2 linked regions of the Diceros bicornis minor genome follow. The protein of the gene in region 2 purifies or fractionates together with the protein of the main gene of each other region. This does not show direct contact. Links are inferred from orthologs where the notes say so. Each region holds a gene or a part of one and is shown on either strand. Other genes may lie near its edges.

Region 1 (3,906 bases), on a different chromosome or scaffold from region 2:
TGTGCACCCCATCCCCGAAGAGAGGCCTTTTCACAACTCTGGTTTTTGGGCCCTGAATTAATGTTCTGAATGACCGATGTCGCTTTGCAGGCTTCTGGAAGGAGGCTGCCACAGGAGGCAGCTCAGCAGTGGCCGGCAGTCGCCAGATGCCAGAGTGGGACGAAGAGAAAGGCCAGGGGCAGAGGGACCGAGGAGAGGTGGGGAGGGAAGGGAAACCCCGGGCCCCCAACCCCAGAGCCGCCAATTCCTCACTGAACAGCCCCAAGCAGCGTGCTCAGCTCTCTGAGCCTCAGTTTCCTGCTCTGTAAAACAGAAATCACAGCAGCGCCAGCCTCATAAGGCTTAAACCAAGTCCAGTGTGTTACCTGAGAGCACTTAATTCTAATTAGCTTTTGTTGTCGACATGAGAGGAAGCAGCCTGGTGAACACCGGCCCCGTCCATGTAGACCTACTATGTGCTAAGGAAGAACTTTCACTGCATCCTTGCAACAGTCTTGTTGAGGGATCGTCACCCCATTTTTAGGAGGGAAAACTGAGGCTCAGAGAGACCAAATAACCTGTGCAAGGTCAAAGGCAAATGAAATGGACAGCTTTACGGACGCCCACTGGAAGCCTGGGCAGGCAGGAAGATGGCCACGCACGCAGGGGCCCACAGCCCGGCCCGAGGATCAGCCCAGCCCCAGCTGACCCCAAGTCCACACCTTTCTGCCACAGTGGACAGAGGGCAGCTCGCCAGAGGTAAAGCAGCAGAGGAGGAGATTCGTGCCGCTGGGAGCAAAACTCCAGGCCTCTGGGAGGCAGAGGCGGGGTGCGTGCCCAGCTGGGCTCCACTGAGCGCCAGCCCGGTGGCCTTGGGCAAACGGCGAGTCCTTTCTGAGCCTCCCCGCTCATCTCTAAGGCGGGGATGACAGAAGCTCCACCCCACCCGCTGATGGTGGGAATCAAGATACCAAACCAAGAAAGAACTCAGCACTAGGCCTGCTGGATGAACGTGACCTCATAACACTGACAACAACAGTAATAATAACGATGAGACTGATGACTATGATGGTATCATGTGGCAGCCACGGTCACAAATGGAGTCCTTCCCAGAATGGAGAAGTGGCCGCCCATCTGGGAGGCAGAAGGGCAAGAGATGGGCGAAGGGAGAGGGGCGAAGGGAGAGGGGCGAACTAACCACCCTCGGTGGCCTCAGTGCCTGTTCTCATTCATTAGCTTCCTGAATCCTGGAAAACAGCCCAGAGAGTGGAATTTGCCCACTGGACAGATGCGCAAACTGAGGCTTCTCAGGGCTGCCCAGGGAAGGCTGTATTCCAGCTCTTGCCACTGAGGCCTGAGCAGGCAAGAAGTTCCTTCCTAGGCTCCAAGGAGGGCCTCCCAATTTGCAAGCTTTAGCCTGGAGGCTGGCCCCTGTGTTCTGGGGACCTGGAGCACCCTGACAGGGGCCAGGCAAGAATCCTGGAGAAAGTTCCACTGGGGTCCTACTTCCAACTGAGAAGGAAGGCGTTCAACATTCATCCTTCAGCTCCCTTCTCCTCTGCATGCTCCCACCACCCCCTGCCAGAGCTTGGGCCAGACAGTCGGGGGCCGCCAGGGCACCGACGGGCAGACCAGGAAAAGGACAGACACCAGGACAGACAGACAAAAGGATCCACTTGGAAGAGAGGAGACAGCGTTTGCCAGGAGCCAAGCTGAAAAGTGAGGCCAAGCGAGCCAGACAACAGGGCCCCTTAGGGTCCAGCCAGGCAGTCAGACGCCAGAGGCCAGCTGGGGTGACCCTACAGATGGATGGTTAAGCGTTAAAGTCTGTGAGGGGCACGGATGGGCAGGCAGACTGCACAGGTCACCCTGGACAGCTAGCCAGACAGCAGGGGGCTGCCCTGCGGGACTGGCCAGATGGACAGCCAAATGGTGGTGGCAGGGAGGCCTATCCAGGACGCAGTGAGGGCCAACCAGACGGCGAGGGCTGCTCCAGATAAATGAAAAGCCAGCCAGACGGCAGGGGTCGGCCCGATAGGTATCTAGCTGGCAGGTTGCGGATAGAGAGACGCAAAGAAGGCGGACCTACCCCGGACCCAGCGGCAACCAGATAGTAGATTTCACCCACTCAAGCTGGGGACCGGGGAGCCGGCGGGGGTCCACCGCGCCTCGGGGCCCACGCCCCCAGCCCGCGACACGGCCCCCGGCCCCCGCAGGGAGTCCTCCGCCCGGGGCGCCCGCAGGCCCGCCTCCCTGTCCCCGTCCCGCCGCGGGCACGCAAGCGCCGCAGTTACGCCGGCGGCGCACGGCGCGCCATTCCCGGTCCGCCCTCCGCGCCAGGCCGCCGCCCGCCGCCCGCCGCCGCCGCGCTCGCTCACCGGCCCACGAAGTTCTCGAGCACCGAGCTCTTGCCGGCGCTCTGGCCGCCCACCACGGCGATCTGCGGCAGGTCCAGGTGGCAGCTCTGGCCGATGGAGCTGAAGGCGTCCTGCAGCTTGTTGACCAGCGGGATCAGCTCCTCCATCCCCCGGTTGCCCATGGCGCCGGCGGCCCCCGGCCCGAGCGCCCCGCGCTCCCCGCCCGCCCCCGGCCCTCAACGACGCGGCCCCGCGGAGTCCGCGGCCGTTGCTCCCCGCACGCCCGGGCCTCGGCGCAACGCCCGCTCCCGGCTCGGCCTCACGGTCGCCGCCTCATCCGGTTCTCAGGCGACACCCGACCCGAGCGACCTCCCGCCCGGGCCCCGGGGCTGCGCCCAAAGCTCTTGCGCCGGCTCCGATTGGCCGGCCGGGCTGCCACTCGTGCACACGAGCCAATGAAAGCGAGGCACGGGCTTACGGGCGGGGAGTCTCCCCCGGGGGACCTTCTCGCGGGCTGATTGGACGCAAGAGCTGTCGCTGTTGTGCAAGAGCCAATAGCGGCGGGAAGCGAGTTGTCAAGGCCAGGGGGCGGTGTTTCGGGAAAAGGCATATTGGTGCCGCCTATTAGGGAGGGATTCCCGATGGCAGGAAAATCCGCCAGTCTTATTGGCAGGAAGACCCGCCAGTCAACAAAGCTGGCCAATGATATTAGGGATCGATCCTTAGACACTGGTTTGTCACTTGACGCTACCTAGTTCCCTAAAAACTTCCTATTGGTTTATATAACTATCACTCCGTTCCATCAGCCAACAAAACGAAAGAGGGCGGGCTTTAACCTCTGAACCCTGACTCTGATTGATCACTGCATTTGTCAATCAAAAAATCTCCCGTTTTGACTTGGGATTGTTGTATGTCTATTGGAGAGGCTTCTGGAGTACAGGGTAAAGCCCACCTTACTCGCCTAAGGACGCCACCTCGTGGTGGGACCCGGTGGTGATCTTCATGTGTGAGTTTCCGGGCTCGAGAGAAAACTACAAGTCCCAGAATGCATCTCGGCCCCGGGCTCGCAAACCAGCTCTCCGCGCGGGGTCCCAACGCGCTTTGAAGGTGAGAATCAGGCGATGTGAGTCGTTCTTAGGGAGAGGCGGTCTAGCACTGCATCGCTGGCCCCCACTTTCATTCCTATAAAGTCACGCCTCTAAGCCTTTGCAAATGCTGTGCTCTCTCCTAGGAATACTTTCCGCTCACGCCCCGTCTTGCTGCGGCTAACGCTCCAACGTTGTTCTCCTGCCTCTTCAACTTGAGCGCATCTTGGATCTTTTGGAGTGCCCGGTGAAACTCAACGATCCTCTCCCCAGGTAAAGACACCTTATTTTGCAGGCAACAGTTGGGGGTTGTGGGAACCGAAACCATTAACCTCTTAGAAAAGAGGCCGGGGATATGTGGAAGGATTTTAAGAAAAGTGATTTGATCCCTTGGGGAACAGATGGGCCTGCTCCCTGACCCATAACCCCAGGTCTCAGAGAAATGGGCAACAAGACGACCAACAAGTTTTGGCAATGCGGCCTTG
Region 2 (3,906 bases):
ACATTTTCTCTTGTTTTAGTATTTGTGCCAATGGTGTATGTCCACAATCCAGGAACAAGGAATTTGGTGCAAAGAATGGAAACTATTTGAGGCAGGATACTACAGTTACCCAAAGGCTGAAGTCCCTGCTGTCAGACATGTGCTCTTTAGAGAAAGAAATGTTGTCACAGTCACCTACTGAGTAAAGTTGACTACACCAGCCCTCTTATTTAAAGAGTTAGTATGTTTTCGTTTTTTCCTAGGCTTTGTTTTACATACAGTCACTTGAGGTAGGAGCATGGCAGCTCTACCACTCAGTTCACTGATCACAATTGGTTTTTTGTATTTTATTTATTTATATCCTACCTAACTTAGAAAAATTTTTGAGATAGTTTATATATTAGTTTTCTATTACTGTGTAACAAATTAGCACAAATTTAGAGGCTTAAAAGAGCACAAATGTATTGTCTCCTAGTTTCTTTTGGTCAGGAATCTGGGCATGGTTTAGCTGGATCCTTCCCCCGGCCAGATGGATGTCTGCTTTAGGATGGTAAGGGAGACTGTACCGTGATCAATGGATTCTTAGTTGTTACTGTACCTGGGAATTGTATCTAAAAGACAGATCTTTTTTTCCCTCTGAGTTATATTTGACATATTGATGGGTTATGTTGATTTATTTAAAGGCTATTTGACAAAGGAGGTGAAATCTTTTGAAGCAGAGTATGTTATTCAAGGGGGTTTGCAGTGGTTTGAATTTGGCATTGAATAGACTGGCTTATCATGCAACACTTATGTATGCAGCTGCCTAACAGCCATTTGATTTTAGAGTAGATGAGGAGCAGGGTATAACCAGAAAAGAGGGAAAGAGGACGCGTTGATTGCGAAATTGGGACCAGGGAACAGGCTGCCACACAAGAGTTCCTCTTTGCTTCCTGCATCTGCAAGTACAAGTAGTTGATAATACGCAGGAGATGGGAATGGAGGGACTAGCTGAGGGGAAAGGAGAAACCATCCAGAAACTTCAGAGGAATTTTCAAAGGATTTAAAGAACTCTTTACCCTGATCCTTGTGTTAATAAAAGGGGTTATGAACACAGGTTGAGAGCTTAGCATGAGGCCCTGTAACACAGTGGCTAAGAAGGCAGCCCTGAAGCCCAAGAGAGGTTCAAATGGTGGCTCCCACCACTTACTCACTGTGTGACATTGGACAAGCTTCTCACCTTCTCTAAGTTTCACTTTCCTCAGGCACGAATGGGGATACTTATATCTACTGTACAGGGTTGTTGTGAAGGTTAAATGAGATAAAAGAAGAAAAATAGTGAAAGAGGAGAGAAGGAGGAAAAATGTCAAGATAATCCTGTAGATCAGCCACTCGACAAGTATGGACGATGAGTCTATATATGCCAGACGCTGTTCTGAGGGCTAGGCAGACTCAAGTCAAAGGACAGGGCGGTCACAGCTTATCGGAGCAGAAACTCAGGAACAGAAACTTCTGCGGGAACCAGTATTAGATCCAAAAGTCATCAGGTATCACGTCTGAAAATTGGAAATTTTCCTAGGAGAATTTCCTGTGTCATGAAACCTTCAGTTTGGAAGAAAAAGTGCCAGGAAGAATAAGGAACTAATAAAGAACTTTCAGTACATGAGATTAACAAAAAAAAAAAAGACACAATGGGCTCCGTTCAGCCCCTCGGGAGACTGCCTCACTTCCAAACTCCCCTGTGCACCCTTAAACCCTTGACGTTCCTGTTAAACTCATCGGCTTAGGATCGGCCAGCCTGACAGCGATAATCTTTTGAGGAGGGCTTGGGGACGAGCTGCCTTCCCCTCCTTACTGATTTATGAGAGTATCATCTTTAATTCCCATAAACTCCAAGTGAGTAACTGTAACTCAGAGAAGGTAAGTTACGTTTTCAAGGTCACACAGCAAATAAGGAGCAGAGCTGGGATTAAAACCCAGGTCTGTTAGAATCCAAAACCCATGCCCTTAACTACAGCAGTCTACTCTTTTAGCAAACCCCATTTATCTAGGCTGGTATTCTGTACAGAAGATTTCCTCTTTAAAATAAAATGCTAGCTATAAAATAGAAAGGGTACCAGCCAGGAAAATGCTGGACAGAAAGTCGGAGGACCTTCCTTCTTGTCCTATGAATCCTGCCCTCTCTCTCCCTGATTAGCTGTGATTTCACATCCTTCCTCGATATGCTGTGAGAAATTTCCATACGGACCCGGCCAGACTCTATATTTTCCATATAATACTCTGTATAATCACCTCCAGCGTGGGTGAATTTTACTCAGGATAGTCTTTAGGGTTTGGTTGAAAACCTGCATCTCCTTTAGTGCTTAAAATCCTCAGGGTGGCAGGCAGGCAGGTTCTGAATGAGAAGACTGGAAGTCTTGAAGAGGGCGGCGAAGCCGTGGGGGCTGACGGGAGCTCCCTGGAGATCCAGGACGGACTCAGTAACTCCCGAGTTGCCTGGTGTTTCCCCGTCCACGTCGCCCTGCCCAGGCTCAGGCCACCTCCTCACCTGTCAATCAGCAGTCTGCGCACTGACTCAGTCTTGCTTCTGCTCCAGCCAGCTCTTCAGGCCGCAGCCAGGGTGATCATTCTAAATCTGATTTTGCCACTCCCCTCAGTAGAACCCTTCAATGGCTCCTTGTTCTTCTCAGGATAAAGTCCAAACTTTCTAATGTGGTTCAAAGGTCCTTCAGGATCTCGTGCCTCCCTGTCCCACTGGCCTCAGCTTTCGCACCTCACCCGCCAGCGCCTCACCCGCTCCCACCGCCGCACCCGCTCCCACCAACTCACTCGCTCCCGCCGCCGCCTCACCCGCTCCCGCCCCCCCCCACCCGCTCCCTGTGCCGCCTCACGCGCTCCCACCAGCGCACCCGCTCCCGCCGCCGCACCCGCTCGCATCAGCTCACCCGCTCCCGCTGCCGCCTCACCCGCTCCCACCAGCTCACCCGCTCCCGCTGCCGCCTCACCCGCTCCCACCAGCTCACCCGCTCCCGCTGGCGCCTCACCCGCTCCAGCTGCCGCCTCACCCGCTCCCACCAGCTCACCCGCTCCCGCCGCCGCCTCACCCGCTCCCACCAGCTCACCCGCTCCCGCTGGCGCCTCACCCGCTCCAGCTGCCGCCTCACCCGCTCCCACCAGCTCACCCGCTCCCGCCGCCGCACCCGCTCCCCCCACCTCACTCTCTCCCATCACACTGAATTTCTTGCAGTTCCTTGAACGCCTCACTCTTTTGGGGCTCTGACCTCTGCACTGGCAGCCTCCTTAGCCTATTGCTCCCCCATTTCTTTGCATCCGGCTAGTGCCTCTTTGTCTGACCTCACATATCTCAAATTGGACTTCACTAGCTCTGGAATGACTTCCCTGATCTTCCCAAGACTAGAGTAGGGCCCTTCCCCCAGGCTCCCCGCCCCCAGCTGTGAGTTTCCTGAATCATAGCAATTACCACAATGCAGTGTAATGACCTATTTGTCTTCCCAACTAGACAGTGGCTGCTCTGAGATCACAAGCTATATCTTATTTCTCTTTGTATTCTCTGCATTTATTAAGAGCAAGGACTCCATAAATGTCCCCTACAAGAATGAATGAACGATGAAATGTTCGTGGCTGTGCCAGGGAAAGCACTGTGACTGTATTTTACGAACATCAGCTCTGTTAAGTGACTATGTACCAGGGAACCTGAAAACAAAGTGATATTCAGACAATTTGGAAAAATCGAGTGCAAATGGCAACCTCAGGCTTAAAGTTTCACTGAACTGAAAAGAAGCCCTCTCAAGTGGCTGCTTTATTATAACAACAAGAAGGGAACCAAGGAACCTGGGATTAAAATTGGAAAGAAAAAAAAAATGTAGAGAAAGTGTTAATCACCTGAGGAGAGAATTCTCATTCTAAACAGCAAAAGATACATTTTCT

The links.
Region 1: the proteins of DNMBP (region 2) and DNM2 purify together in Homo sapiens (co-immunoprecipitation; 3 studies listed by BioGRID and IntAct, with this or other methods). This does not show direct contact. The link is inferred for Diceros bicornis minor from reciprocal best matches to the Homo sapiens genes DNMBP and DNM2.

The regions. Positions count from the first base shown.
Region 1 is NC_080769.1:8,596,828-8,600,733, forward strand, and holds the start of DNM2 (dynamin-2), read right to left. Parts: upstream 2,551-3,906; 5' UTR 2,519-2,550; coding exon 2,358-2,518; intron 1-2,357. UniProt on the Homo sapiens protein: Catalyzes the hydrolysis of GTP and utilizes this energy to mediate vesicle scission at plasma membrane during endocytosis and filament remodeling at many actin structures during organization of the actin cytoskeleton.
Region 2 is NC_080745.1:65,372,094-65,375,999, forward strand, and holds the start of DNMBP (dynamin-binding protein), read right to left. Parts: upstream 2,651-3,906; 5' UTR 2,507-2,650; intron 1-2,506. UniProt on the Homo sapiens protein: Plays a critical role as a guanine nucleotide exchange factor (GEF) for CDC42 in several intracellular processes associated with the actin and microtubule cytoskeleton.